Linked DNA regions of Sus scrofa. The protein of the gene in region 7 interacts with the protein of the main gene of each other region in a biochemical or structural test. Links are inferred from orthologs where the notes say so. Each region holds a gene or a part of one and is shown on either strand. Other genes may lie near its edges. The genes, in order: INSR, IRF1, HSP90AB1, HSF1, ubiquitin-conjugating enzyme E2 N-like, UBE2V1 and STUB1.

Region 1 (3,634 bases), on a different chromosome or scaffold from region 7:
TCGATCCCTGGCCTTGCTCAGGGGGTTAAGGATCCAGCGTTGCCACAGGATGTGATGTAGATCAAAGACACAGCTCTGATCCTGTGTTGCTGTGGTTGTGGCGTAGGCCAGCAGCTACAACTCCCATTCGACCCCTAGCCTGGGAACCTCCAAATGCCGTGGGTGTGGCCCTAAAAGGACAAAAAAAAAGAAAGAAAGAAAGAAAGAAAGAAATAATATGCAGGAGTTCCCACTATGGTGCAACAGGATCAGTGGTGTCTCTGGAGCCCTGGGATGAAAGTTCAATCCCAGCCAGGTGCAGTTGATCAAGGATCCAGCATTGCCATACATGTGGCATGGGTCACAACTGCAGCTGGGATCTGAGATCTGATCCCTGGCCCGGGAATTCCATATACCACAGGGCGGCCAAAAAAAAAAAAAAGACGTAATATGCAAACACAAGCACATATATAGGCATCATATAAAAATACAAGTGTGCATGCAGAGATAAAATTTGCAAACACAAACCAAGCAGATATATCATGTTCAAATGCAAGTATCCATGCAAAGGACAAATACTTTTGCATGAGCACCCCACACACCGAACCTCCTTTCTACACTTACACTCTCTCTGGACAATTGTCAGGTTGATCCAGATAGCCTCCATCCATGACAAATTTCAACACCTGCTCGTTTGAAAGGCCTTGGTAAGGCTGTTCTGCCAAGCTGGTAATTTCCCAAAGGACGACGCCAAAGGACCTGTCAATGACAGTTGGGAGTAGAACAGAGATGCCATTAAAATACACACAACACAAAACACACACACACACACACATACACACACACACACACACACACACACACACACACACACACCTTCTTGGTTTATTAGAACCTGGTCAGCCAGTTCATTAAAACAATTCATGTTGCAATTCATTGAAGTTCCCACTGTGGCTCAGCAGGTTTAAAAACCTAACTAGTAACCACGAGGATGCAGGTTTGATCCCTGCCCTCGCTCAGTGGCTTAAGGATCTGGCATTGCTGTGAGCCATGGTGTAGGTCGCAGATGCAGCTTGGATCCTGCGTTGCTATGGCTGTGGTGTAGGCTGGCAGCTATAGCTCCGATTCCACCCCTAGCCTGGGAACATCCATATGCCTTAGGTACGGTCTTAAAAAGCAAAAAAGCAAAAAAAAATTATTAAAAGAAAAAAAATTCAGGAGTTCCCTTCGTGGCTCAGCAGTTAACGAACCCGACTAGTATCCATGAGGACCTGGGTTCAATCCCTGGCCTTGCTCAGGGGATAAAGGATCCAGTATTGCCGTGAGTTGTGGTGTAGGTCGAAGATGCGGCTTGGATCCCATGTGGCTGTGGCTGTGGTGTAGGTTGGCAGCTGTAGCTCTGAGTGGACCCCTAGACTGGGAACTTCATATGCCACAGGGTTGGGTCTTAAAAAGCAAAAAAAAAAAAAAAAAAAAAAAACAAAAAAAAAAACAAAAAAAAAAACAAAAAACAAACAAACAAACCCAAAAAACAATTCATGTTGCAGTTCAGAAATAAAACTCTAAGACTAGTCTCCATTGGTAGCTGCGCAAGGGTCCCCAGCATGACATCCTCTTCCCTTTCTTGGTGGAAAGGCCATGAGGAAGGCGGTTTTCAATGACCCCTCTCGCTGGTCCCCCTAGTGGAGCAACAGGGAATTCAAGCCCAGGGTTCTGTCCACCAACCCACCCGCGACTCACCACATGTCGGAAGAAGTGGTAAAGACCCCGTCCTTCAGGGATTCGGGTGCCATCCATCGCACGGGCAGTAGACCCTTGCCCCCTTTCCGGTAGTAATCCGTTTCGTAGATGTCTCTGGTCATTCCAAAGTCTGATAACAAACAATTCACATGCGCTTAGCCTTCAGCCTGGGGCCCAGCTGGCTGCCGTCTTTACTGCCCCAGATGGGCTCACCTGCCCCAGGTGTGTGCGCCAAATCCAGTGGGAGTGGATTCTGAGGGCGCTCACGGGGACGTGGAGGGGGAGCATGGGCCACCAGTTAAAGAGAAAGAAAAGGAACCACCACGTAGCAAAGAAGCGACATTCTGGCCTGCAGAGGGGGAAGCGCCTTCTCAACGCTGCCTTGCCACCCACGATGACCTCACAGGCATTCCAAACTGAATCTTCCACTCCCTGTAGCCAACACTACTCGTCCCCATTGGCTGTGGCCACACCAGCCACTCAGCTACCCCGCCAGAAACCCAGGGTTGGGTCCTCCCTTTCCTCACACCCCACCGTCAACAGGGGTGAGTCTAGCCACTCACCTTCCACATCCTCCCCCTCCCCCGCCCCCAATGTAATCTCTTCCTCTCCACAGCCCTGGACCCACCCAGATCCAGCACTCTCTCTCACCTGCAGGACCCTCCCTCCATCCCGACTGCCCGAGAGAAGCTACATACATAGGATCACATCACATCCTGCTTCCCTGGCTCATGTAGGATAAGGCCTTTGGGGATCAGAAATCAATCCGTGTCACTTCCTGCTGCTGCGCACCGGCTATATCGGGCAATGCCTAGATAATGTTCCGTGACTTGCAAGGCCTTTCAGTATCTGGTTCCTGCCTCCCTCCTTTACTCTCACATCTCAATGCTGCTTTGCTCTCCTCATCATGAATTTTATTCACATCAGCCATCCCTCCAACCCCACGGCCTCTGTGTGCCCTGTCACTTCCCCTAGGAGGCTGCCTTTTGGGTCAACTTTTTCTTTTCTTTTTACATCTGCGTCTGCAACATATGAAGGGTCCCAGGCTAGGGGGCAAATCAGAGCTGCAGCTGCTGGCCTATGCCACAGCCATGGCAACACCAGATCCTTAAGCCACTGAGTGAGACCAGGGATTGAACCCAAAACCTCACAGAAACAATGTTGGGTCCTAACCACGAAGCCATGGCGGGAACTCCCCAGGTCAACTTCTAATCCTGCAAGCCTTGGTTAAACCATTGCCTCCCTACAATGAGAGGGGCTTTTCCTCTATTATGGAACTGAACTCCTCTTTTCTTTCTGGGTCCTTTTCCCCATCTCCATCATCTTCTTTACCTATGTGTCAACTATTTCACTGTGCACCCAGAACAGCTCTGCTGAGTAGAACTTTCTGTGATGATGAACGTGGTCTACATCCCCTGTCCAGTATTGTTCAAGGTGCCCAGGGTGACTGACGTTTACGTTACGGAATTTAATGTGAACATAAATGGCCTCCTGTGGCTGGTGCAGATAAAGACTGCAAGCTGCACAAGGGCAGAAAAATCATAGTGACTTATTCAGCCTTGCACCTGGAGCGCCTCCTGCAGCAACTGGCACAAATACAACTTAAAGAAGTGAATGAGGGGAGTTCCCGTCGTGGCTCAGTGGTTAACGAATCTGACTAGGAACCATGAGGTTGGGGGTTTGATCCCTGGCCTTGCTCAGTGGGCTAAGGATCCGGCATTGCCGTGAGCTGTGGTGTAAGTGGCAGACGCAGCTCAGATCCCACATTGCTATGGCTCTGGCGTAAGCCGGCGGCTACAGCTCCAATTTGACCCCTAGCCTGGGAACCTCCATATGTCGCAGGAGTGGCCAAAGAAATGGCAAACAGATAAAAAAAAAAAAAAAATAGTGAATGAGTGGAGTTCCTGCTGTGGCC
Region 2 (2,617 bases), on a different chromosome or scaffold from region 7:
CCAGGGAACTCCCTATGCCGCTGCCTACTGTGGCAGACAGTGCAAGAGAACATTCCCATCAGTGCAGAAAATGGACAGCAAGTAATGCTTGGCACAGCAGGCCTCAGGGACCTTTTGGGAGCCGGTGTCTGATCTGTCTGTGACTGTACTGTACCAACTGTTAACTTTTTGGAGTAGCATCTACCTGAGTACCCTTGCACTATGTTTGGCAGGACATCAGAGTCTATGGCACATTCCTTAGGAAAACTCAAAACCTAACACTCCCCAGGCCCCAGAAGCCAAAATTCATCTCAGTGACTATATTTACATGAGCATGTCCATGTGCAACGACTATCCTTTCTCCTGGCATCTTCTCCATGAACATAATTGAAAGGACTTAGCAATAGGTGCATATGTCACTCACTGCTCACCCCAAAGTCAAGCTCAGGCAGGATGCCAACAATGAATCCATCAGAATGTATCTACAAAAAGTAAAATCATCTACAATTTATTTCTAAATAAAGGGCCACACCCCTTATAAACAGTTAACTTTTTATAAAAAGACAAATGTACATATTTACACACATATACATGTGTGGTCGCACACGACTTAGTGGTCAGATGACATTTCCAATTTTAAAAGTCACATCAAGGCGCTCACACTTGCCTCCCTGGGCCTGCTGAGGGGCTGCTGGGGCCTGCTTAAGGGGCAGGTGGGTATAGGGCAAGGCACTGTATAAATAAATGCAAAGGCTAGAGCTTGGGGAAAACATTAGTGTACACCTCTGATCAAAAATGTGGCAGCGTCCACAGGAAAAGTGCCATGTTTTTTCACAAGCCCCCCAGCCCAAGCAGGGAGCAGGGCAGAGCTCCTCTGAGGCAGAGGGGACATGTCCCACAGGACCCCATTCTTCCTTCACATTTCTCTGGCTTTGGAACAGTCCCCAAGGCTCAGCTAAGAAGGGAGGCGAATCTTTGGGAACAGGATTCACTTAGTGCAATCGTCTCTTAGTGCAGAGCCAGCCCTGGGGTTGGTGCTGTGCTTTTCTGAGGTCAATGGTCCATTCCCTTGGGCCAGCTCAGTGACAGCAAGACCGTCTCCAGGCAGCTGGGCTCAGAGGGAAGAGCTGGAGGCTGACTCCTGTCTGAGACCTCTTCCTGACACACCACTCTCAGAAGCCCATCTTCCCAGGAGACAAGGCCAGCTTTACCCCACAACATGAGTCCAGATCTGGCTTGCCAGGCCCCAAGAGGCCATTGTTCCAAGGAAACTGGCCCCATCCCCGGTCAGCAGTGGGGTCACACTTTGTCATGTCAAGAGGCCACAGGAGTCCTGCTTCTCTGCACCACAGCCACCATGATGCCAGGTCCCGCTCACCTAGAGGACTAAAAGGGAGCCAAAGGCCCGCCTACGGTGCACAAGGAATGGCTTGGATGGAGGGCAGCCTGACTGGGGTCAGCAGGTTGTCCAGCCAGCTGGTGTCCACGTTCTTCAGATCTGAAGATATCAGCCCAGTATACCCTAAAGATGTGAAAAAGGTTGTGTGAGGACTGGGGATAGGGAGGCAGGTGTGTTCTCCCTGCCACCCTCCAGTCCTATCCCTGAAGGGCACAGGCACAGCAGCCTCTGCTTCCACCCAAGGGCGGCCTCATCTTTAGGATCTTGGAGCAGGAGCCAATTTGCAAGCTATCTGGACCCAGATGCATTTATTTATTTATTTATTTATTTATTTACTTATTTATGTATTTATTTTTAGGGCTGCACCTGCAGCATATAGAGGTTCCCAGGCTAGAGGTCGAATCGGAGCTGCAGTAGCAGGCCGACACCACAGCCACAGCAACACCAGATCTAAGCTGCATCTGTGACCTATACTGCAGCTCATGGCAACACTGGATCCTTAAACTACTGAGCGAGGCCAGGGATCCAACCCATATCCTCATGGATACCAGTCAGATTTGTTGCCGCTGAGCCACAATGGGAACTCCTGGACCCAGATGAATGTCAAAAAGGATGCTTTACCTCTGCTGCTCTCTAGCCCTGCCCCCAAGCCTTCCCCACCTACTACATGGTTCTCCCTTCTCTGAGAAACCGTATGGATCCAGGGTCTTCTTACCCCCAGGGCTTTCAACTTCTGGCTCTTCCTTGCAGCTGAAGTCTCCATAGACAGCGGTGGGCTGGGCCCCAGGTTCATTAAGCAGGTACCCCTTCCCATCCACGTTTGTCTGCTGCCACCCTGACTGCTCCAGGAGCTGGGGACAAAGAAACAAGAAGGCATCAGCTCACTTCCTGTACAGACTCATCCTTTGGCCCTGCCTTCAATGAGCCAAAGCTTCCCAGCCAGGATCCCATCCTTGGCCATTTTCACATCCTCAGATAGATGTAGATGTGCACTACAGTTAGCAAGGGGCCGGGGAGGTGAGGGTCTACCGTCTTAGAATCTCCAAGACTTCCCTCTCAACTGGGTAAGGACATACCAACCGGGAGTGTGGCTAAAACAATGGTTAACATAGTAAGTCAAGAAAAGATACCTAGAAAATCTAGAGTTAAGGAACTAGGCCCATGTCTCCATTTTCTGTGCTAATGGAACAGAGGCTGGGTACAACTCTTACAAAAACTTTTTAATAAAAAATTTAAAAA
Region 3 (4,297 bases), on a different chromosome or scaffold from region 7:
AAAGATGAAAATTTCAGACTACAGAAAATAAAAAACCAAGTGTCTCCTGCAGCAGACAATTGAGTTACCAGTTCATACTCACATAAAGTGTGATGGGATAACCTATGAACTGTGAGTGCTTCTTTACCACCTCTTTCACCCGTCTCTCTTCTAAGTATTCTGTCTGGTCCTCCTTAAGATGCAGAATGACCTTGGTACCTCGGCCAATGGGCTCACCTAGAAAGTCAATCAAAACGGAGTGAAAAAGAAAACTAAGTGCTGAACAACAAAGACCAATGTCTCACCATTAGAATGCTCAAGATCTTTACCACTGTTCCCTCAGAATTCTATCCCCGACACCCAACAGGAAAATCAGCCTACCATGGTCAGCACGAACTGTGAAGGAGCCCCCAGCAGAAGACTCCCAGGCATACTGTTCATCATCATTGTGCTTTGTGATCACAACCACTTTCTCTGCCACCAGGTAGGCAGAATAGAAGCCAACACCAAACTGTCCAATCATGGAGATGTCTGCACCAGCCTACCAAAAAGTTTTAAAAAGTCAAACACAAGTTTTGAAGAAACAGCAAACTAAACATCAATGAATATGAATGGTGCATGCCTAGCTGAAATACCACATACCTGAAGAGCCTCCATAAATGCTTTAGTACCAGACTTGGCAATGGTTCCCAAATTATTTATGAGATCAGCTTTGGTCATGCCAATGCCTGTGTCTACCAGAGTCAGGGTGCGCTCCTGGGGGTTGGGGATGATGTCAATTTTCAGCTCTTTACCACTGTCCAATTTGGAAGGGTCTGTCAGGCTCTCATAGCGAATCTTGTCCAAGGCCTGAAAATACAAATTGCAGTTTTACAATTCTGCTTCCACCTCATCCAATAGAAAAAGTTTTTTCCTACTCCCAGATAACCTCATTTCTGATAACCCCTTTCATTTGAAGCTTGAGACGTACATCCAGTTAGAGTACGCCATCTATCCACATAAAGCAAGGCAAAACCTTTTTAGAATTGAAGTTTATATTCCCTTCAAAAATAAAACCCACAAAATGCCCAATCACCCCTCTCCTTCTTTGAAGTACTCGAGAAACAAACAAATGCCAATGAAGACGCTCAGGGAACTCACATCAGAAGCATTACTGATCAACTCCCGAAGAAAAATCTCCTTGTTGGAATAAAAGGTATTGATGATGAGAGACATGAGCTGGGCGATTTCTGCCTGGAAGGCAAAAGTCTCCACTTCCTCCTCGCCATGGTGCACTTCCTCAGGCATCTAAAATAAGAGAGATGAAGAACTTTGGACTCAAGTTCACCCCAATTACAATAAAGACACTAAGAGGTTCAGTTCAAGTTGTTCTGAACCGAGTACTGAGATGCAAGACCTTTCCTTTAAAGACTTCAGGCTGCGCCCTCAGTCTGAGAATAAGAGGGGCGGGGGGGGGGGGGGCTGCTAATACAGCCCCCAAAATGCCTTAAGGTCTCTTAAGCATTTTGTTAGGATGTTAGGCGATCCATCCACGGATCAGCAGCCTCTCATCACCTGGTAATCTCTTAGGCATGCAGAGTACCTCGCCCAACCCCGGTTTCTTAAATGTGAATAAGCAGAAGACCTACATACATATTCAAATGTACAAATTAGTAACTACGGTTCTACCATTTCTGGTGGAGGGGAGGGAGCCCCCCCCCCAAACAGACCAGTTTTACCTTAAAGGGGCTATCATTTGAAACTGCTCTCCCTTCACCTCCAGGAAGATGTGAAATTGCTACCTCACGTGGTAAGGGAGGCTAACGCGAGAGAATCGTGGGATACCCACTTGGGATGCCATTAAGACAAAGAACCGATAAAGCAAAAGGCTCCACTCTGTCCCTGTAGCACACGTGACTGAGGTACAGGACCAAACCAAATACAACTAAGATGGTGGCGTAGTCCGCGGGGCCGACGCTCGTCGATGCCGGACATGCGTCGGCCAGGACCACGCGAGGAGGGGGCGCCACCGCGCAGCCTCCCTTCGCCTCAGCATCCGGGCACCAGGGCGGGGCGCCGAGTTCCAGAACCTTCCAGAACAATTCCAGCCAACGGGGAGAAAAGAGGACGACGAAGAAATGCTCCCATAAATTCTCAAGCCTGCCTCCTCCGCTACCCCTCCACCCTGACTGCAGGAATGAGCTCGAAGCAGGAAGCACGATGGGCCACTGGAGCTCCAAAGCATCCTTTGCCGCAAACCCTCACACTAAGGACTAGAAAAACTCCCTTCTATAAAAGAGATGGCAAAACCTACCCAGAACCATGCTGTGCTGAGTCACACCGGGCCCGCACACCCACCAACCTTGCCCACCCTCTGGCGCCCCGTAGTCGCGTCCGGAAGTAGAGGGGCAAACATGGCAGCGTCCCGGGCCGGCGCGGCTACCACGTGTAGCCGCCCAGTCCCCCAGCCCCACTCGCCCAGGCCTAACAGCCGCCTAGAAGGCCCGACACCAAGCATGGAAGGAAAAGCTAAACTCGAGAGCTCCCTTCCACCCACCCTCTAAAAAAATTGGGAGCGTTGTCCAGCAAACCGCCCCAGCACGACAAAAACTTGGGTCTCAGAAAGGACAGAATGGACGAAAGCAACCTGAAATTTAACCAGAAATGCCTTAAGAGTGCAACCTTACCTTAAAGGATAAGGATCACAAACACCACAAAGCTGAGCGGGGAAGGACTGCCTCCGGCTCTCACGCCAGAACAAGGCTGCGCGGGGGGTGACTCAAGAGAACGGCTGTGAGACCCCAGTCGCTTTATATAAGGCGAAGCACACCTTCGCTGCCCGCCCCCAGATCCCTCCGCCTTAAAGGAGGCTGTCTGTCAGCCCCGCACCTGCCGCTGCCCGCCCACCTTTACGTCATGGTCCAAAATAGGGGAGGGGGCGGTGAAGAGCAAGGGCGCGCATGTGTAGACTTTTTCTTAGTCCCATCTCCGCGTCCTGAAGACAGGACACCACCAGAGCTAGATGTTGGGTATACTCATAGGACAAATGCCGTGGCTCTAGGGAACAGAATCCCCGCTGACCTCAGTAAAAACCTGTAGAGCAGGTGCCTCCACACCAAAGAATCCCAGAGGAACACCTGAAAGGGGACCAACTACTCCCACCTATGCTCCCTCCCTGCTACAATCTTCCTTACACATTCCTACTGCCCAATAAGGGGAAAGGGTCCTTTCCGGGGACACTGGGGAATTTGAAGCCGAACTTTGGGCAGCCCGCGAACCCTGGCACTCCCAGGGGACAATGGGCAGTGCCAGCGTCTCGCTGCGGGGCGTGGCTTCCGCTGCTAGAAGGTCGCCGGCTCGGGTGTGGAGGGCACTCTTTGTCTGCAAGCGGCGGAAGGAGCGACAGTGGCGGTGCTGCGATCTTCCAGCAGTTTCCAGATCCGCCTCTACGGTCCTGTCCCGCCCCGCCCCGCCCTCTTCCCTTGGGGCTCCACCCCTTTTTCTGCGGACTGGGCTGTGCCTCTGCGGCGGCTCCGCCTCTCCAACGTTATGCTTGAATCTCCGGGAGAGGTGGGCAACTTCGATCCTATGTTGCTGGCGGGCAACTACACCCGGCACCCTCTTCGCCACCCGCCAGACCCAGCTCGCTCAGCATTGCGTCCAGGGTGGGGTGGAACAGGGATGATCCCCCCTTTCTCCCCCGTCAGTCACACAGCACACGGGTTATTGGGGCGGCTCTGCGAGAACCGCCTTCGGAGCCGAGACTGAGGGTGGCGTCGCTACCTGAGAAACCCTCCCCAGCCTCTGCAGCCGCCCACGCGTGTCGCACGCAGGGGCATGCACATACAATCTGGTTTCCTTTTCTTTTTACAAAAATTCTTTCCCCTCCTGCAACTGTCTAGGTCTGGGGAGGGGAGGATCTCCAGGGACCCCCGCTGGGTGGCGGGGGTTCTAGGAGGTGGCATGAAGACACCAGCGCCTTCATGCTGGCCAAAGGGCTGCTCGCTCCTGGCGGGCAGAACCAGGTTGTTCCCCTTCAGCTGCTGCGGCGCCGGAGCCCCCAAGCCAAGCGCCGGCCCAGCTGCCTCGCCTGGCCCTGCCGCTTTTGCTTGCCTTCGGGGCGGGTACGCTGTCCTCGCCTTTCCAAGGCCTCATCTCTGGAGCTCACCCGCCCCACAGCCCCTCCGGGAGAGAATGACCGCTCCCTGCGCCGTGACCTTGTGGATGCCCAGCAACTCCCTCAACTCCCTTCGTGGCCCACTTTGTCCGCCCCTGGAATGCTTGGGAGAGGGATACCTCCGACCCGCAGACCTCCCTCGGCAGCCCTGGTGTGCAGTCT
Region 4 (4,410 bases), on a different chromosome or scaffold from region 7:
CAAACCCCCGGGCGCTGGTCAGCCACGTGCGGCCGGGCCCGGCTAAGACCGCGGGGTGGGGGGGTGGAGCCCGAGCTGGACCCCACGCCCGACTGGAGACTCGACACTCGGCGCGGTCAGAGCGCGGTCGGTGGGGCAGGCGGGCAAAGGGCCTGTGCACTTCAGGGTCTTCCTCGCGTTTCCTGTCACCTCCGAGGCTCAGGTTTCGCGTCTGTAAAAAGGCCACCTTCACCTTCGTGCAGGGCAATGGGAGGCGCGACAGGCTCCGTGTGGAAAAGGTTTGGCTGCGGCAGGCAGAGGCCTGCTCGGCGGCCACGCACGCTCATCAGGTGCAGGGACCCCGGGAACCTCCAGGCTCTGCAGTGGCCCTCGAAGCCAGCACGGGGGCAACTGCGGGCTCCTGCACGGAGGACCAGCTCAGCAGGCTGGTGGGGCCCGCCTGGCTCCGGGCAGGGGAGAGGGCGGCCCTGCCTGTCCTGGGGTCTCTGGAAATGGTCCTTTGCCAGCTTGGAGTGGCCAGGGGTTTCACAGGGAGCTGGGGACCTGACCACGGAGACCGTGCTCCACCTGGACACTAGCCCCTCTCAAGCGATCCCTGAGTGTGGCACTCACTTGGGCCACCTGGGCTGGTGGCCTTGGCAAGGTCCGGTTCCTGGGAGAAAGAGGCCCTCAGTCTTGGCCAGAAGGGTCTGACTCCCATTATGTCCCAGGGGGCGTGGTGGTAGCACTCCCAAGGCCACACTCCCGGTCACCAAGTCCCCTCCCGCGGGAGCCCTTGCCTATTCAGCCGTGGCGCCGCACGGGGCGCATCTGACGGGACAAGGCTTTGGAAGGGCGGGCAAACCAACACGTGCCTCTGGAGCAGCGACCCGCTGGCCGGCCCCAGCTCCCAGGGCTGGCACCCGCCCGTGGTCATGCATCACGCAGACCACAGAGTCGACCACTGCACCTCCTCCTCCCCCTCATTCCCTGGGCCACAGGCAGAGGTTTTCTCCTGGTGGAACAATGAGCAAAGTTCCAGCACAAAGGGGAAGGGCCAAGGGCACAGGCGTCAGACCTGTCCGGGGCCTCCGACAGCAGGACTCCAGGCTGCGAGTCGGCAAAGGGCTCCAAGCGGACTTTGAGACAGAGGCCCGGGGGTCCTGTGGGCACCCTGCCGGCCCCAGGCAGGGGCTGGTCTCCTTTCTCAGGGCCAGCCCCACTGCGTCCTGCACCAAGCACACCCTACTCGCTCTGTGTACAGACTAAGGAGGATCAAAAGCTCTTGCTCCATGGCCGCTTGTCCCCAGGGAGACCATGCCTGGGGGCGCAGCCACCTTGAGTAGAGACCATCACGGGCTGGACCATGTCCGCTTTCCTGCTCCAGGCTTTGCCTGGAATACAGGCCGTGAGGCCTGGGGAGCAAGCTGACGCTGGCTGTGCTTCGCCTGGCCTGGAGCAGACTGAGAGGCGGGATGTCCCCACAGTAGGTTCATCCCAAAGGACCTCTGGTGCCCTCCCCCAAACGGGAGTTACGGGGAAGGGACAAGAAGAGGGAGAAGGGAAAAAGACAGAAAAATGGGGTCATTTCATTTGGCCGGCAAAGTTCAAGGCCTGGAACAAGGGGTGGTTCCCACCGTTAAAGAAACAGGGCCTGGGATGGAGAACGCCACATGGATATTTGCTGGGACAACACACAGTGTCCCCAAGGGAATGCAGCACGGTTTCTGGTCTCCTCAAAGGGACAAGTGGAACGAGAGAACGTGGCCTCCAGCTCTGGGCTCCTTTCAGCCCAGACTGCTCTTCCTTTCCAAGGGCTCAGCAGGATGACAGGCAACAACTCAGTGGGGTCCAAGAAATCCAGCGTTTGGGCGCTCAGGAGAGTAAGCACGTTTGGAGGCGCCCGGAGCCTGCCTACGACTACGGTGGCCTAGGCCACCCCCCTGCCAGCCGCGAGCCGTGGCTCCGACCTGCCCCACCTCGACGTCACAGCCAGGACGTCCATCTCCAAGTCCAACCTCCGCAAACTGGAGTTGTCCAGCCTGCGGAGTCAGACCATGTAAATCACCTGCCCGCTGCCAGGCAACGGGAGACAGGGCGTGAATAAAGTCGCGCACAGAGCAAGAAACACGAGTCGCTCTTGGGAAAGCAGCTCTGGGATCTGGACCCGGGCTCGAGACCAGCCTGAACTTTATGACGTTGTGCTTTCTGTTTTCGCTCCCTCTCCTTTCGAACTAGAGAAACGCCCTCCAGTTCCAGGGCCGAGACTTGATTTACCCTGAATAACTGCCCACCACACCACTGGAACTCTGGGGCCACCGGGGCCCAGCGTCCACTAGCGAAGCCGGGGGCTGTTCTAAGCACAGACGCGTCCCGCAGTCGTCCCACAGGCAGCAAGCGCAAGCCCACGGAGGCAGAAGCCCTTCCTACCCAACGCGGGAGAGCGGCGTGGACAGGAGCGACCTCCAGCGGGCCTGCGACGCTTCTCCCCGCACTACCCCCTGCTCCCCACCCCCACACCGGGCCTGCGAGGCGGGGTCCGGGCCTGCCCGTCCTGGGCCCCCGCGCCGCGGCCTCCCCGCCCCGGGCCGGCGCCCTCGGCCCCTCACCGGGCTCCAGCAGATAAGCGCGTCCGTGTCCGGGTCGCTCACGAGAGTCCAGAGCTTGGTCAGGAAGGCCGGGACGTTGCTGGGCCCCGCCGCGCCCGGGCCCACGGGCAGATCCATACCGGGCAAGGTGGGAGAGGCGGAGGCGGGACCGCGAGGAGGGGCTGAGGGCCGGGCTAGCGCCGCTGCCGCGCCTGCCGCCCGGGCCGCGCGCCGCCGCCCGCTGCGCACACACGGCCCCGGGGCCTGGCATGGCCGCCGCCATCTTGCGACGGGCGCGCTCCCGCCGGCGCCGCCCGCGTCCCACGGCGCGCGCACGCACACCGGCCCCCGTCCCGCCCGGCGCCCTCTGACCCCGCGGGCCCGCCCCCAGGCCCACGCGGTCGCGTCGCTGCCGGAAGTGGCGGCGCAGGGCAGACCGGCGGGCGGCATGGCGGGACCTCAGGGCGCGCGGCGCGTGGCGGTGGCCGGGACGCGGCCCGGGAAGCGGATGCTGGAGCCGGGGCGGGAGCCGGAGGAGGTGACGCGGGAGCGGGAGCGGGAGCGGGGGGGGGCGGCGGGGCTGGGCCGCGGCACCGGCCGGGGAGCGATCCCGCCCAGCGCCCGGCGGGCCTGGGAATGCGAGGAGGGAGGGGTCTCCTGTCCTCCGCCCCGGCGGCCTTGCGGGGGCGTCCTGGGCAGGGAGCTGGCTGGCGGTTGTGTGGGTCGGAAGAAGGTCTGGGCCGGAGAGAATAAGGAAGGAGAGCCGGCGTCCTGCGCAGCGGTCTTCCTGGGCCTTTGAATTGTCATCTGGGCGCAGAAGATTTGAGCCTGCAGTAGCTGCTTGTATAGCCAAATGTTCCTGACACGTTAGACGTTGTAGAAGAGGAAACGAGGATGAGAAAGCAGCGCCTGCTGCACTGGACGGCCCGTTTTAGCTGGACTCATGCTCTTCCTGTCCAGCGGAACCCCAGCCGCGCTGTGGGGGTGTCATCAAATCTCATCAAATCTCGGTGGTAGAAAGCCATAGCAGGCTTGTGCAGTCGAGCCTCGCAGCTGGGACTCCACGTTGCTGGTTTATCAGGCTGCCCCTTCACTTGTGACAAGTGCTCGTGGTGCTCCCTGGCCGGCAGGCAGCTCTGGGCACCATGCTCACCCACTTGTAGTGCTTTTGCCTCTGTATTCATCAGCGGCTGTTTGTGTTTGTGCCCAAAACATTTGTGCCATTTTTACTTGCCGTTGTAATTGTGTAGCTAGTTAGGCACGATAGAGTGTGTGCTGAGTGCTGTTTGGTAGCTGCTCCGTGCAGGCTGTCCAGTTTGGCGAGAGACTCAGGAACTATTGAAAAACAATGAAATCTAGAATTTTGCCTTCCAATGAATGCTTGCTAAGAGTCTGCAGGTTCTTGTTCCACCGTGCACCCTGTCTGGTGGAGTTAGGGCCGGGGTGGTGTCTGGTGGGCAGAAGTCTGCTCAGAAGCAGCTCTGGTCCTGCGCCACACAGAGCTGGTCACCGACAGTGTGCTCCTTGCAGCCCTCTCTCCCCGGCGCCCCGGCTCCCAGCCTGTCTGACAGCGAGGAGAGTGTGTTCTCAGGCCTGGAAGATTCTGGCAGTGACAGCAGTGAGGAGGAGGACGGGGCCAGCGGCGAGGAGCAGCACAGCAGGATGGAGAAGGCCACGGGGCAGCAGGTGGGTGAGCGAGCAGTGTTCTGGTGTGCTCGTCCTCGCTCTCCGGGCGGGTGGCCGGGAGAGTGCCTGCCAGCTCGCGGGCTCTGCTTTCTCTTTCCTCTGGTGCGGGGGGGGGGGGTTCTGAGCCCTAGGGCACCAGTTTTCAACCGCAGTAGGA
Region 5 (4,188 bases), on a different chromosome or scaffold from region 7:
AACAATCTTTTGATAGTTCAAAATGAAAAGAAAAAAGTGATGACTCTTTTTAAACCTTTTTTGACATGGACATTTTTATGCTACACACACAACGTGGTACAGGTTTAGAAAAAGAACAAAGTAAGCCAAAATCGGATACATTCCTTTTTAAATGTAATCTGAAGGGAGTAATAGAAATGTCTTTGAAGGCTGAAGCAAAATGTAACCTACTTGAGTGAAAAATCAATAAGCTATCTTTCAGGAAAATTGTACTCAACAATTGTCTAATGGTCTTTTAAAGGAAGTAAATAAACAAATGGAAATGAGGAGTTTAGGAGACAGCCGCCTTATTTTTTTTAATCCTAACAATCTAGTTCTGTGTGAGACTTTTTTTTTTTTTTGCCCCACTGCCATTTCTTCCTCTTCCTTTGCTATCAGAACCCTGATTTGATTCTGGGATCCTGGGGCCACCTGTGAAAGGCAGACCAGATCCTGAAGCCAAGGCAAGCATCATGATAGGTAATCATGGTAATCTCAATTCCTTCACCAGGGCCTGATTTGGTCCTTGAGACTTAAGGGGAGATTTACATAGGAGGAGGGCCTTGGTCTAAAAATAGACTGCCCCACATTCAAAATAAATTCAAGGAAGGAATTATTCTTTGTTTTTTTTGGATGTTGTGAGTCTGCATGTGATGCCCAGGGCTACTACAGCCATCTTGCCACCATGAGGCAAGACATCAGGCAGGACTAATATTGAGGATAGTAGAATGAAAGATGGAAAACATCTGGGCTGATGACATTTTCAAATAACAATAGCCCTGCAATTCTCTCTATTTTAATGAGATAATACCTTTCCTACTGTTGAAAGCCTTTTAAGCCATGCTTGTTACTCATAGATAAAAGCATCTCAATGGCCACAACTTCAGAGCCTAATAAGGAAATGCATTGCCATGTTTAAAAATGTTCTGATAAACTGACTTAAAATAAGTAGTCAGTTCTGGGATTCATTGAAGATATTATCAGTGATGTAACTAAGGAAACATTTTCTCTTTTGGAACCAAATTGAAGCAGTGAAGAAAATAAACCATTAACTAGGAACTGCCAAACAACAGTCCCTAGGCCAAATCCCACTTGCAGACTGTTATCGTAAATCCTGTAAGACAAAACCAATCTGTACTTTTTTTTTTTGTTCTTCCTAGGGCTGCGCTCGCAGCATATGGAGGTTCCCAGGCTAGGGGTTGAATCAGAGCTACAGCTGCTGGTTTACACCACAGCCACAGCAATGTCAGATCTGTGCCGTGTCTGAGACCTACACCACAGCTCATGGCAACGCCGAATCCTTAACCCACAGAGCAAGGCCAGGGATCCTCATGGATCCTAGTCAGGTTTGTTAACTGCCAAGTCACAACGGGAACTCCTATATTTTTTAATAGTTGAAAAAAAACATCAAATGAATAAGAATATTTCATGACACATGAAAAGTATATGAATTAGAATTTTGGTCTCTAGAAAGGAAGTTGTTAGAGCATAGCCATGCCCATTTGCCTGTGGCGGCTACATGAGAGCTGAGTAATTACAGTAGAGAATATATGATCTTCAAATGATCTTCAAAGCCTAAAATATTTACTCTCCGCTCCTTAAAGAAAAGTTTTGCTGACCATTGCTACAGACCAATGGACTTACCTCAAATTGCATGGTAGAATTACTCAAGGAACTTTCAGAAATACTGATACCAGGACCCATCTAGACCAATTAAATAGAAATAGAGCCAGTGAATCTATTACAAAGGCAAGGCTGAAAGCCATTTCTCTACGTAATGTGAGTGCATACAATACAAGTGAGCTTCAACCTGGACAGATTTAATAGGTTTAGAGAAAACGAAATAAATCTAGCTTCGAACCATCATTTATAACCCCAAATTCTCTGCCATCAGCCTAAGTTTCACCTGTCACCAATTCAATTCACAAAGCACAAAGCGGTGTTTGCAACCAGAATGTTAGAAACAACAGTGTAAACAGTACATCCTTGTTTAAATGTTGACCCAACTGGCACACATGGGTGGTACTGGTTGTTAGCACTCCAAGACAGAGTGGGAGTGGAATTGAAGAAAAACAAACAGAGGAAAGAACTAGACTGTTAACAGCTAAAAAGTATTTGGGGAAACAATTATAGCCCAAAAGGATTAACGGAAGGGAATAATATAGCAACAATGACCAGAATGTAGACGTTTTCACTAAATTCTACACTGGATCAGAAAATATCACTCAGGTATCATTTTATAAAAAGGAAAAGGGGTGCAGTTCCTGGTCTGGCCTGGAAGGAGCTTGAAAGTCATTCCTCCATTCTAAAAACAAGAAAAAGCCGAACAAACTGAAAAATCACCCACTCTTAAATCCATGAGAGAACGAAGGTCTCAGGGCAAATCTCGGGCCCTCACATTAGAGAGACAGGGAGACACAGAAAATCACAACTTACCAGAGCGGAAACCCACAAGCAGAAACCTCCTCAGGAACCAGTGCCGCAGTCAGGAAAGCTGAACTGTATTTGACAGGTGGCTGGAGCCGCAGAGTAGACAAATCGGAGAATTAAATATTCCAGAGGAATCCACACTTTGTGAGCTTTGCCTCTAGGAGCCCTACTAGACTCTCACAGTGGAGATCTGAGAGGAAAATCTTCTTGTGTTTCCTGAAGAAGGAGCCGAAGAGGAACCACCTTGAAATGTGCCAGAGCACTCACTTCTTAACAAGGTCCGCCTGCAGGAGAAGCTATTTTCTAGGGCCTAACCTGCTGGGATTTTATCTGTGCCTAACTGACCTAGGGGAAGGGAAATGCCCAGCCCCAGCTGGCTCTATTCTTACACTGGGGAAGCGAAATACGCAACTCCTGCTCCTCTAGGCATCTTGTTCCAATTAAGGGGGGGGAGTGGGGCAAAAAAAAAAAAAAACCCACAACAACAGAGAAGCACGTGTGACGTTCACAGCCCAGCAGCACAGGCTCATCAAAAGACTGACACCTAATCATAAAACTATAAAACATTTTCCCTTCCCCCACACCTAACCACCACATCATTAAAGGCCTATTTACTGCAGTTCCTTTTACTCAGTACAAGTCCATCTTTCAAGAAAAACTTGTAAGGCATACTAAAAGGCAAAAGACAGACACCATTTGAAGAGCCAGAGCAATGTTCAATCCCTGGCCCAGGAACATCCACATGCTGTAGGTGTGACCAAATGCATGCATATATAAATAAAGACATACGTAAATTAAAAATAAAGGCATGGAGAAAGATATGCCATGCTAACACCAGTCAAAAAAATTCAGGAGTAACTCTACTAATTTTAGACAGAGCAGACTTCAGAGCAATAAAAGTTATCAGAGATATAGAGGAGCATTACATAATAATAAAGTGGAATAGATTCAGATATGGCAAGAATGTTGTTAGAATTATTACACCAGGAATGTAAAATAAATATGATGAATATGCAAAGGGCTAATGGAAAAAATAGACAACATGCAAGAACAGATGGGCAATGTCTGCAGAGAGATGGAAATTCTTAGAAAGTACCAAAAAGAAATGCTGGAACCAAAACACTGTAACAGAAATAAAAAAATGCATTTGATGGGCTAATCAGTAGGCTGGACACAGCTGAGGAAAGAATTTCTGAGCTTAAGGAAATGTTAATAGAAACTTCCAAAACAGAGATGCAAAGAGGGAAAAAAAAAATGGAAAAAAAACCCAAAAGATAATATCTAAGAACTGTGAGACAACTATAAAAAAGTGTTACATATGTATAATGGGAATACCAGGAAGAGAAAGTAATAGGAGAAATATTTGAAGCAATAAGGACAGCAATTTTCTTTAAATTAATGTAAAATGCTAATGTCAGAGACATCAATCATGAATAGTTCCAAAAAACACTACACCTAGGCATATCATATTCAAACTACAGAAGATCAAAAATAAAGAAAAATCTCGAAAGAAGCCAGAGGAGAGGAAAAAAGCCTTACTTATAGTAGAGCAAAGATGAAAATTACATGCAACTTCTCAGAAACCATGGAAGTGGAGCAGAGTGAAATTTAAAGTGTTCAGAAGGGGAAAAAAAATCAACCTGAATTCTGTACCCTACAAAATTATTCTTCAAAAGTGAAAGATAAATTTAGACTTTCTCATACAAACAAAAACTGAGAGAATTTGTTTCCAAAAGACAT
Region 6 (3,900 bases), on a different chromosome or scaffold from region 7:
ATAGCCAAAGAAAACAACAACAAAACAACCAAAAAAAACCAACCCAATCTTTTAGATCTGGGGTTGGCAAACTATGGTCTATGTGCCAAATCTGGCCCTTTGCCCAGTTTTGTATGGCCCCTTGAATGAAGGATTTTTATAGCTGAACATTTGCAATTGGTTTGATAACAGGGAATACTAATCTTGAATCCAATTAAGTAAAATGTCATCTCCAAAAAAAAAAAGCATTCCATTCTTCTCAGCAGATCTGTAACATTACAAAAAACTGTACTCAATTATTACCATTTTGAATTTCATCAAAACAACCTGGAAATTTGTTTTCTCTCATGTATATAAATACTCATTTTCTTTGTTTTTTTGTCTCTTGGCCAATTAAGCCTAAATATTTACTAACTTTGGCCCACTGTAGAAAAAGTTTGCCGACCCCTGCTCTAGGAGACCAAACTGAATCCCAAAGCATCTATGATATTAAATTCTGCTCCTGAATAAATTATATGCCAAGAGGAAGAAGAGCACCGCTTCTTAAATATTAACGCACACTTCTTTTTATTATATTAAAATCAGGCAATGGTCTGACAATAAAAAGGCTGCTTATGGAATACTGTTATGTTAAACTTTACTTACAGGATGTTAAATCCTTAGAACTAAGGTTTTCCCCAGAAAAAGATTAATGGAAACATCAATTGCTTTTCAGACTTGATAGTTGCTGCTTCAAAAGGTGGTTTTATACAAACGCTAAATTAAAAAAAAAAAAAAAAACCCTTAGAACACAATGAATTGCTTTTATTTCGGTATGCATCCACACCTCAGCATTTAGTGGTCCTGAACAGAAAAGTGGAAAAACGCAGCAATTTGCCGGAAAGTCAAGCCCGCCAATTTCGGGGATCTGCCGTGCACACCGAGTTCTTTCTTAATCCCTGCTGAGGACCGTGAGAAGCAGCAGCACCAAAACCAAAGTATGCACCGAATTCAAGATTCTTTTTGTTCCAGTTGTCAGATTCCAAACTAGACCCAAATTGGATTGCAAGGATGACCAAATGAGATACCTTCAAAACTTCTTCAATTTTTAAAAGCAAAAGCAATTACAGGAAAAGAAAACAATTCATTCAGAGGGATTGTGTGTGCTTACAAGTGTCTTCCGTGGCCTTTCTCCAAGTTTAACCACCAAGGACTTCGAGAGCTGGCAGGTCTGAGTAGCCCTGGTGACTGTTCTTTCATCTTATCAAAACCTGAGCTAAAAACGCATCAGCTGATGATGACAGCAGAGGGTGGCAGGGCTGAGAACCCAATATTCATTTCCCAGGCTGGTGGAGAGTAAATAAACATGGTTCCAAAACTAAATGAGGGCGGTCAGAGACTCTTTCCAACCTTACCTGATGGCTTCTGGCCAAAGCAAGGAAGTGCCATGGAAAGTGTTGGGTGGTGATGGTGCAAAAAGGGATTTGAGGAGGAGGAAGGAAAAAGCAGCACCCCTCGATTAAGGTAGGGGGAGAAGATATGGGGAAAGCCCTGAATTCCTCACCAAAGGCCAATTTCAGAGGGGAGCAGAGGGGGTTACAATCTATGCTTCGGCCAAGGGTGGGAGTGGAGAGTTGGGGAAAGGATGATGGCTTGGAAGGGAGGCATCATTTAAGACTTAAAAAAAGAAACAAGGGGTGCAGACAAAGCACCCCCCCATACCCAGCAGTAGTCCAACAGGCTGTGACCTGAAACCTTCACATCTACTCTAACAAGCCACCCCAAGCTGGAGGGCTGTTGCAGGGAGGGAGGGAAGCAGGGGGAGGGGAAGGGGAAAAGGCAGAGACCCTAGGCCATGTAATCAGCAGCAAGGTGATTGTGTGATGTGTCTTTTCACAGTTGAGTTAGATGTGCCCCACCGGTTATGATGGGAATCAATTTAAATATACTTTCTTGATCCCAGAAGTTCAACTATGTGGACAGTGGTTACACTTGACAGGATGATTTGTTATAGCACAACTTATATATTTCAAATGGACAAAAAAATTAGTATCATTTACAGTATCTTAAGATAAATTGCCTTTGAATGGAAGCTTCCTTTCCAGTACTTTGAGGTCTACAAGATGTATCTAGAAAATTTACTACTGTGGAAAATGAAGACTGCTTAAATCGAATGGGGGGTAGGGGAGGGCCTGTGGTTTTTCTTTTTGATTAATTGCTGTAACACTGTCCTTCAGGCGGCTGAGGGAGTTTCATATTTTCTTTAGACATCATTAGGCGTCGAAGCTCTTGCAGAACAACTTTGATACTATATGAGTTCTGCCATTTTGCTAGCACTGATATGGCTCTTGGGTCCACCTACACAAAGGCAAACAAAAGCCAAATTACTGTCAGGTTCTCAAACAAAAGAAGAGCTGTATGCTGAAGCTAAGCTACAGAAGAAACACTGAGTAAAACGCATTTTTTCAAATTGAACATGCTGATCACGCAATGGTATGTGACACACAGAGTGTTCATGGGACTCTCTCCTTCCAGTTAGTCTGTTTCCCCCTTTTTGTGTCCCAAACGCTCACTGTTTGGGAGAAGGAAATTATGGATAAGCAAAGCCACTTTTAGAGAAATGGTCCTGACACTTGGTGAGACTCAATCCAACTGGCTCTGAAACAATGACATGACCTGACCTGCTTCTGGGCCAGCTGCTGCCACTACTCAGGACCAAGGCTCTAATCACAAGGGCCTGCCTCAGAGTCATCCCTTTTCAAGTCGTGCGGCTTCTCCCAAAACAGTTTCTCAGTGTGAGCAGAGTCCTGGATTCAGCACTTCAGGTGGAACTCAGACAACACTGAACACAGAAACAAGGCTCACCTCTTTTCTACTTTGTCAAGTTTTCCGACTATCTCAAAACAGAAGGCTTATTAGCTTGTGTGATGCTAATATGTAGCATCTTTAATACTTGCTGATCTCCTCTCTGAACAAGAGAGCAGGGATCAGAGGCTCAAAAGCCTTTGGTAAGCAACATATGGTGGAAAAACTATCAAGCTTGTTTTGTTTTTTGTAACATTTGCCATTGCCATCACTGCCTTCTTATGACAAATGAGACTGGTTTCCATTCATGGTAGTGAAAATGGTGGTAAAAATAAGTTTAGGAGTTCCCGTCGTGGCTCAGAGGAAACGAATCTGACTAGTATCCCTGAGGATGCAGGTTTGAACCCTGGCCTCGCTCAGTGGGTTAAGGACCCTGCACTGCCAGGAGCTGGGGTGTAGGTCAGCGGCCACAGCTCTGATTTGACCCCTAGCCTCGGCTGCATATGCGGCCCTAAAAAGACAAAAAGTTTGAAAAGCAAGGCCATTAAAGGAAAAAAAATACTATGCATTAGTCGTCCACAAAAAAGGCCCATGAGGTAAAAGCGTGACCTTGAGCAAGATCTTTCACCTTCATGCCTCCGTTTCCTCCTCTCTACCTGCTGGGGGTTTATCAGGAGACTGAATGAGCTCTTATCTCAAAGTGACTGGCACAGTGCTGAGTAACACAGGGCAGAGTAAATGCTGCACAAGGAACAGCTAAACACAACTGAGGAAGAGGCTTTCATTCCAAATCTGCACGTTTATACTGCAATATCATCAAATAACCAAGTAACACATGGAAAAACTACTTACCACTCCATTAGAACTATTAACTCCATTCATATTAATTTTTGTTACAAATCTTACAAAGGGGGGTGCTTCTGGGTATTTAGGTCCACATTCTATTTTAAGGCTGTATATTCGGTTTTCATAAATTGTCTGGAAAAGAAAAAAGGGTACAGCCATGTCAGGCAATTACAAAGAATTCAAAAAGGTAGAACTTCTGAAACCCCATTTATTCCTGACTGCAGAACTGATGCATTTGCTTCCATTACTCAAAGTCTACTTGTTACTTGAAAAGTTAGCAGTCCCTACACC
Region 7 (4,111 bases):
CCATCTGCACGGCCCCTGGAATGCACCATCCAGGCCGGTGAGGTCAGTGGTTGGCAGGCAGGGGCTGGGCCGGGCCAAGGGCCTGCAACCAATCCCTGTGCCTTTCTCACCCCATCCACTAGGTGCTGTATTTCCCTGACCGATGGTGGCACGCCACACTCAACCTTGACATCAGCGTCTTCATCTCTACGTTCCTCAGCTAACCCAGGGGGTGGCTGGTAAGCCGTTGCACACCAGCACACGCCCCCATAGTGCTCACAGATTTTATTACAGGGACAGTGGTGGCAGCAGCAACCTCGGCCTGGCCCACCCTCACCTGCCGCTTCTGGCACAGGAGGATGGGGGAGCCTCATGGCCCAGCAGAACTGGTGGGGCTGGGGCTGGGGATACCAGGGTGGGGATCCAGGGACACGAACTATGTACAGAGGCTAGGGGCTGCTGCCCCAAGGCCCTCCCAAGAAGCCAGGATACTGGGCAGGGTGGGTGAGGGGCCCACCCACTTGCCCTGCCTCAGTAGTCCTCCACCCAGCCATTCTCCGAGATGAACGCATCAATGACCTCCTTCATGGCCAGGTTGGGGATGAGCTGTTCCTGGGTCAGGGGGCTCCGAGTCACAGGGTCAAAGTGGCCCACGCGCTGCAGTGGCAACAGGATCAGAATGAGAAGATGCCCAGTGGGTGTGGGCCCTGCCCCCAGCGGCTACGGACCCTTACCTGCAGGTGCTCCTCAATGTCCTTGCGGTCATAGGTGATGCCACTGGGCGTGATGCACGGCTCCCGCATCAGCTCGAAGCTGATCTTGCCACACAGGTAGTCAGGGATGTCTCGCTTCTGCAGCACCCAAGCTCAGGTCAGGAGCGGGAAGGGGCACTGCCCTGGCTCCTGCTACCCACAGGGCCCAGGGAACAGGCAGCTTACCTTTCTCTTCTCATCCACCTGGGAGAAGAGCTCATCCATGTCTGCCAAGTACTTATCCTACAAAAAACCAGGCAGCTCCAGAGAAGCTTGAGCCCCTGTCGCCTTTCCCCAGGCACCCCGCCCACAAAGACCCAACAGGAGCCAGGGTCACCTCACATCACACACGTGCAAATACACACAGGACCCACACGTGGGCAGGGCACCCTCACATGCTTGGCCTCGATGCAGGCCTGCTGGGCCCGGATGTGGCCGTCATCCTCTTCACCCTCGTGGTTCCGCTGACACTCTTCCAGCTCCCTGGGGTGGACCACACAGCTGATCAGAGATGGGTCTGGCCAGAGGAGATCAGACTCCACCTTGGGCCGATTCAGGCCCTGTTCCCTCATCTCCTGCTTTCCCAGGCTGGTCCTCAATAAACGCTTATGTTCACGACTCAGAATGGTGACTTTTGCGAGTTCCCGTCATGGCTCAGTGGTTAATGAATCCGACTAGGAACCATGAGATTGCAGGTTTGAACCTCGGCCTTGCTCAGTGGGTTAACGATCCGACGTTGTCAAGAACTGGTGTAGGTCGCAGACAACGGCTCGGATCCCGCATTGCTGTGGCTCTGGCGTAGGCCGGCGGCTAGAGCTCCGATTGGACCCCTAGCCTGGGAACCTTCACATGATACAGGAGGGGCCCTAGAAATGGCGAAAAGACACGAAAACAAAAAAACAAGGAAAAAAAGAATGGTGACTTTGGGAGGTGGGGTGGAGCCCATGAACACCACAGCCCACCTCTCACGCTCAGCCACAATGAGTCGAGTGAGGTAAGAGTGCAGCTCGTTCTCCTGGTGGATGCGCCGCTCCTCGATGCTGTTCCAGCGTTTCTTCTTGGCAATGCGCAAAGCACTGGGGATGTCATCCCCAAAATTGAGCCGCTGCTCCTTGGCCAGGTTGTAGGCTGGGGGAACAAAGGATCCGGGTAACCCTCGAGCCAGTCCCCCCGCCTGGTCCCAGGCACCCTGGAACAGGCCAGCCAGCAAGCCCACCTCGCTGCAGGTTGGCAATAGCCTCATCATAGCTCTCCATCTCCAACTGGCACTGCCCCAGGAAGAAGTGTGCTTTCACAGACTGGCTGTCCAGTTCCAGGGCGCGCCGGCAGTCAGCCAGGGCTTGCTCGTGCTGCTGCATCTTCAGGTAGCACAGTGCCCGGTTGGTGTAATACACTGCCACCAAGGGATTCCGGGTCTGGGGACCAAGGCCGGACCAGCCAACATGAGGGAGTGAGTTCAGCCTGCCCTTTCTGTCCTAGCTTGAGACCCACGGCTGGAATCAAGACACTAGAGGTTTCTCAGCACCCAGGTCTCTGGGCGCGGAGGAAGGGTGGAGCCTACCTGAGCCCGCCCCCTCGACTCCAACGAGTCTTGCGAAGACAGGTTTCCCAGACTCCTGAAAATCCCCAGCTTTGGGCTTGGACCCCCAGCCCAGTGGGCTGCAAGCACCCTGAAGCTCCCACCCGCCACAGTTCTCTGACCACCAACCCTGGCTCGGGAGCCGTAGCCTTGGCCTCTCTGAGAGAAGATCACTCAGTCCTCAGAGCCGAAGTGCATCCCCTCCGAAAGTCCGGTAGGGGCGGCCAGACAGGGGCTCCGGGGAGGACGCGGGGCCGAAGCCGCGGCCCGGCCCGGCCCCTCCTCCGGCCCCGACGCCTGCCCCCTCCCGCGGCCCGGGCGCACTCACGATGGCGCGGCCGTAGCAGGCCGCCGCCTCCGGGTACTTGCGGCCCACGAAGAGCCGGTTGCCCTGCTCCTTTAGCTCCTGCGCGCTCGGGCTCTTCTCCGGGCTGCCGCCGCCGGCGCCCAGCCGCGCGCCGCTCTCCTTCTCCTCCTTGCCCTTCATGGCGCCGCGCGGCACGGCCTGGGCTCCGCTCCCAGGCTCCGCGCCCGGCCCGCCCAGCGCCCGCACCCCGAGCCCGCGATCCGCTCGGGCCCAGTCCTGCGCTCTGCCACCGGAACTTCCGGCCGTGCGGTTGGGCGGGGCCTCGCGTGCCCCCAACGCGCCGCGGGGGCGGGGTTGGCAGGGAGCGTGCGCTCGCGGCGACTCGACGCGCGGCGTCGGCAACCTGAGGAGAGCCGAGGTCGTCGGGGCGGAAGCCCACCCCGGCGCCCCGGCGCCCCGCCCCCGAAGCCCTGCCCCGGCGCGTGGACATGGCGGCGGCCCGCGGCCTTTGGGGCTGTGAGGACCCGAGCCTCTGGGCCGCCGTCCTGGGCCGCCACGGGGAAGTGCTCCGAGCGCGCGCGGGCCCCCAGGGGCGGCTGGAAGCCCTGGACCGATGGTAGGGTGATAGGGGCATCGGGTGGGCGGGGGACCCCCGTGGCCCGGAGTCGCCGTCACAGCTCTTCTCCAGGTATCGAGAGGCGTTGCCCGCAGCCATCGAGGGCCGGGAGGAGAAGCACGTGACTCGAGAAGAGCTGGGGCAGCTGCTGGCTTGGAAGCTGGCTGTGAGGAACTTCCCACTTGGGGGGCGGGGCCTCCTTCCGGGGCGGGGCGTAGCGGTGTGGGCGTGGGCGTGGCTCGCCCGGGGGCGGGCCCTCGCGCTGTGGGGCGGGGCCCCTAGCGAGGTCCAGCACCCGTGACCCCCACCCCGACTTGACCAGCGGGGCCGCTTCAGGCCGCGCCTGCATCAGCTCGTCAGCGCCAACGCCCCGGAGTTGGTGGTGCAGCACTCGGCTGCCGCCTTCCCCCTCCTGCCAGACATGCACGCCGCGGTCACGGAATTACGCGCCCTGCGGGGCGTGGGCCCGGCCACGGCCTCGGGTTAGTCGGGAGAGCCTGGCGCCCTGGCAGGGTCGCGGGCGGAACCTGGTCTGTTAGTACATTTGCCTGGGACATCGCCTGATGGCCACGTTCATGACACCAAGAGCTGTTGCGAATGGCAGCCCCGAAGGTGTCTTGAGGCTGGTGGGGCCTGAGTGTTGGCTGTTTGCTGCCCATAGCGGTCTTGGCTGCCGGAGCTCCCGAGGTGGCAGCTTTCATGTCTGAGGAGGCAGTGGCCGCGGTGCCCGGTCTGCCAGCCCTGCAGTACACCCTCAAGCACTACCTGCTGTACCTGAGCCGGGTGCAGGAGCGAGCCACAGCTCTGAGCCATGGTGAGGAGACTGCTGGCAGCGAGGGAGGGCATTCAGGACTCTGGTCAGGGTGGAGGGTGCAGAG

Evidence for each region.
Region 1: the proteins of STUB1 (region 7) and INSR form a complex in vitro, tested with the Homo sapiens proteins (2 studies listed by BioGRID, with this or other methods). The link is inferred for Sus scrofa from reciprocal best matches to the Homo sapiens genes STUB1 and INSR.
Region 2: of the proteins of STUB1 (region 7) and IRF1, one has a biochemical effect on the other in vitro, tested with the Homo sapiens proteins (4 studies listed by BioGRID, with this or other methods). The link is inferred for Sus scrofa from reciprocal best matches to the Homo sapiens genes STUB1 and IRF1.
Region 3: the proteins of STUB1 (region 7) and HSP90AB1 form a complex in vitro, tested with the Homo sapiens proteins (3 studies listed by BioGRID and IntAct, with this or other methods). The link is inferred for Sus scrofa from reciprocal best matches to the Homo sapiens genes STUB1 and HSP90AB1.
Region 4: the proteins of STUB1 (region 7) and HSF1 form a complex in vitro, tested with the Homo sapiens proteins (2 studies listed by BioGRID, with this or other methods). The link is inferred for Sus scrofa from reciprocal best matches to the Homo sapiens genes STUB1 and HSF1.
Region 5: the proteins of STUB1 (region 7) and ubiquitin-conjugating enzyme E2 N-like form a complex in vitro, tested with the Homo sapiens proteins (11 studies listed by BioGRID and IntAct). The link is inferred for Sus scrofa from reciprocal best matches to the Homo sapiens genes STUB1 and UBE2N.
Region 6: the proteins of STUB1 (region 7) and UBE2V1 form a complex in vitro, tested with the Homo sapiens proteins (4 studies listed by BioGRID). The link is inferred for Sus scrofa from reciprocal best matches to the Homo sapiens genes STUB1 and UBE2V1.

The regions. Positions count from the first base shown.
Region 1 is NC_010444.4:71,929,691-71,933,324, reverse strand, and holds part of INSR (insulin receptor), read right to left. Parts: intron 1,850-3,634; coding exon 1,720-1,849; intron 739-1,719; coding exon 604-738; intron 1-603. UniProt on the Homo sapiens protein: Receptor tyrosine kinase which mediates the pleiotropic actions of insulin.
Region 2 is NC_010444.4:134,775,663-134,778,279, forward strand, and holds the end of IRF1 (interferon regulatory factor 1), read right to left. Parts: intron 2,230-2,617; coding exon 2,094-2,229; intron 1,502-2,093; coding exon 1,389-1,501; 3' UTR 520-1,388; downstream 1-519. UniProt on the Homo sapiens protein: Transcriptional regulator which displays a remarkable functional diversity in the regulation of cellular responses.
Region 3 is NC_010449.5:39,242,364-39,246,660, reverse strand, and holds the start of HSP90AB1 (heat shock protein HSP 90-beta), read right to left. Parts: upstream 2,888-4,297; 5' UTR 2,646-2,887; intron 1,267-2,645; coding exon 1,120-1,266; intron 829-1,119; coding exon 622-828; intron 521-621; coding exon 361-520; intron 217-360; coding exon 83-216; intron 1-82. UniProt on the Homo sapiens protein: Molecular chaperone that promotes the maturation, structural maintenance and proper regulation of specific target proteins involved for instance in cell cycle control and signal transduction. Undergoes a functional cycle linked to its ATPase activity.
Region 4 is NC_010446.5:483,598-488,007, forward strand, and holds the start of HSF1 (heat shock factor protein 1), read right to left. Parts: upstream 2,869-4,410; 5' UTR 2,851-2,868; coding exon of another isoform or gene 2,706-2,850; coding exon 2,589-2,705; intron 1-2,588. Other genes in the region: ribosome biogenesis protein BOP1, read left to right, coding at 3,016-3,105, 4,098-4,253. UniProt on the Homo sapiens protein: Functions as a stress-inducible and DNA-binding transcription factor that plays a central role in the transcriptional activation of the heat shock response (HSR), leading to the expression of a large class of molecular chaperones, heat shock proteins (HSPs), that protect cells from cellular insult damage.
Region 5 is NC_010443.5:26,024,446-26,028,633, reverse strand, and holds the start of ubiquitin-conjugating enzyme E2 N-like, read right to left. Parts: upstream 2,827-4,188; 5' UTR 2,455-2,826; intron 1-2,454. UniProt on the Homo sapiens protein: The UBE2V1-UBE2N and UBE2V2-UBE2N heterodimers catalyze the synthesis of non-canonical 'Lys-63'-linked polyubiquitin chains. This type of polyubiquitination does not lead to protein degradation by the proteasome.
Region 6 is NC_010459.5:51,629,711-51,633,610, forward strand, and holds the end of UBE2V1 (ubiquitin-conjugating enzyme E2 variant 1), read right to left. Parts: intron 3,742-3,900; coding exon 3,616-3,741; intron 2,317-3,615; coding exon 2,170-2,316; 3' UTR 523-2,169; downstream 1-522. UniProt on the Homo sapiens protein: Has no ubiquitin ligase activity on its own. The UBE2V1-UBE2N heterodimer catalyzes the synthesis of non-canonical poly-ubiquitin chains that are linked through Lys-63.
Region 7 is NC_010445.4:41,092,265-41,096,375, forward strand, and holds STUB1 (E3 ubiquitin-protein ligase CHIP), read right to left. Parts: upstream 2,918-4,111; 5' UTR 2,798-2,917; coding exon 2,639-2,797; intron 2,147-2,638; coding exon 1,948-2,146; intron 1,860-1,947; coding exon 1,694-1,859; intron 1,357-1,693; exon of another isoform or gene 1,215-1,356; coding exon 1,127-1,214; intron 975-1,126; coding exon 918-974; intron 831-917; coding exon 714-830; intron 637-713; coding exon 511-636; 3' UTR 250-510; downstream 1-249. Other genes in the region: JMJD8 (jmjC domain-containing protein 8), read left to right, coding at 1-42, 123-203; uncharacterized protein LOC100524737, read left to right, coding at 3,106-3,233, 3,306-3,399, 3,556-3,715, 3,895-4,047. UniProt on the Homo sapiens protein: E3 ubiquitin-protein ligase which targets misfolded chaperone substrates towards proteasomal degradation.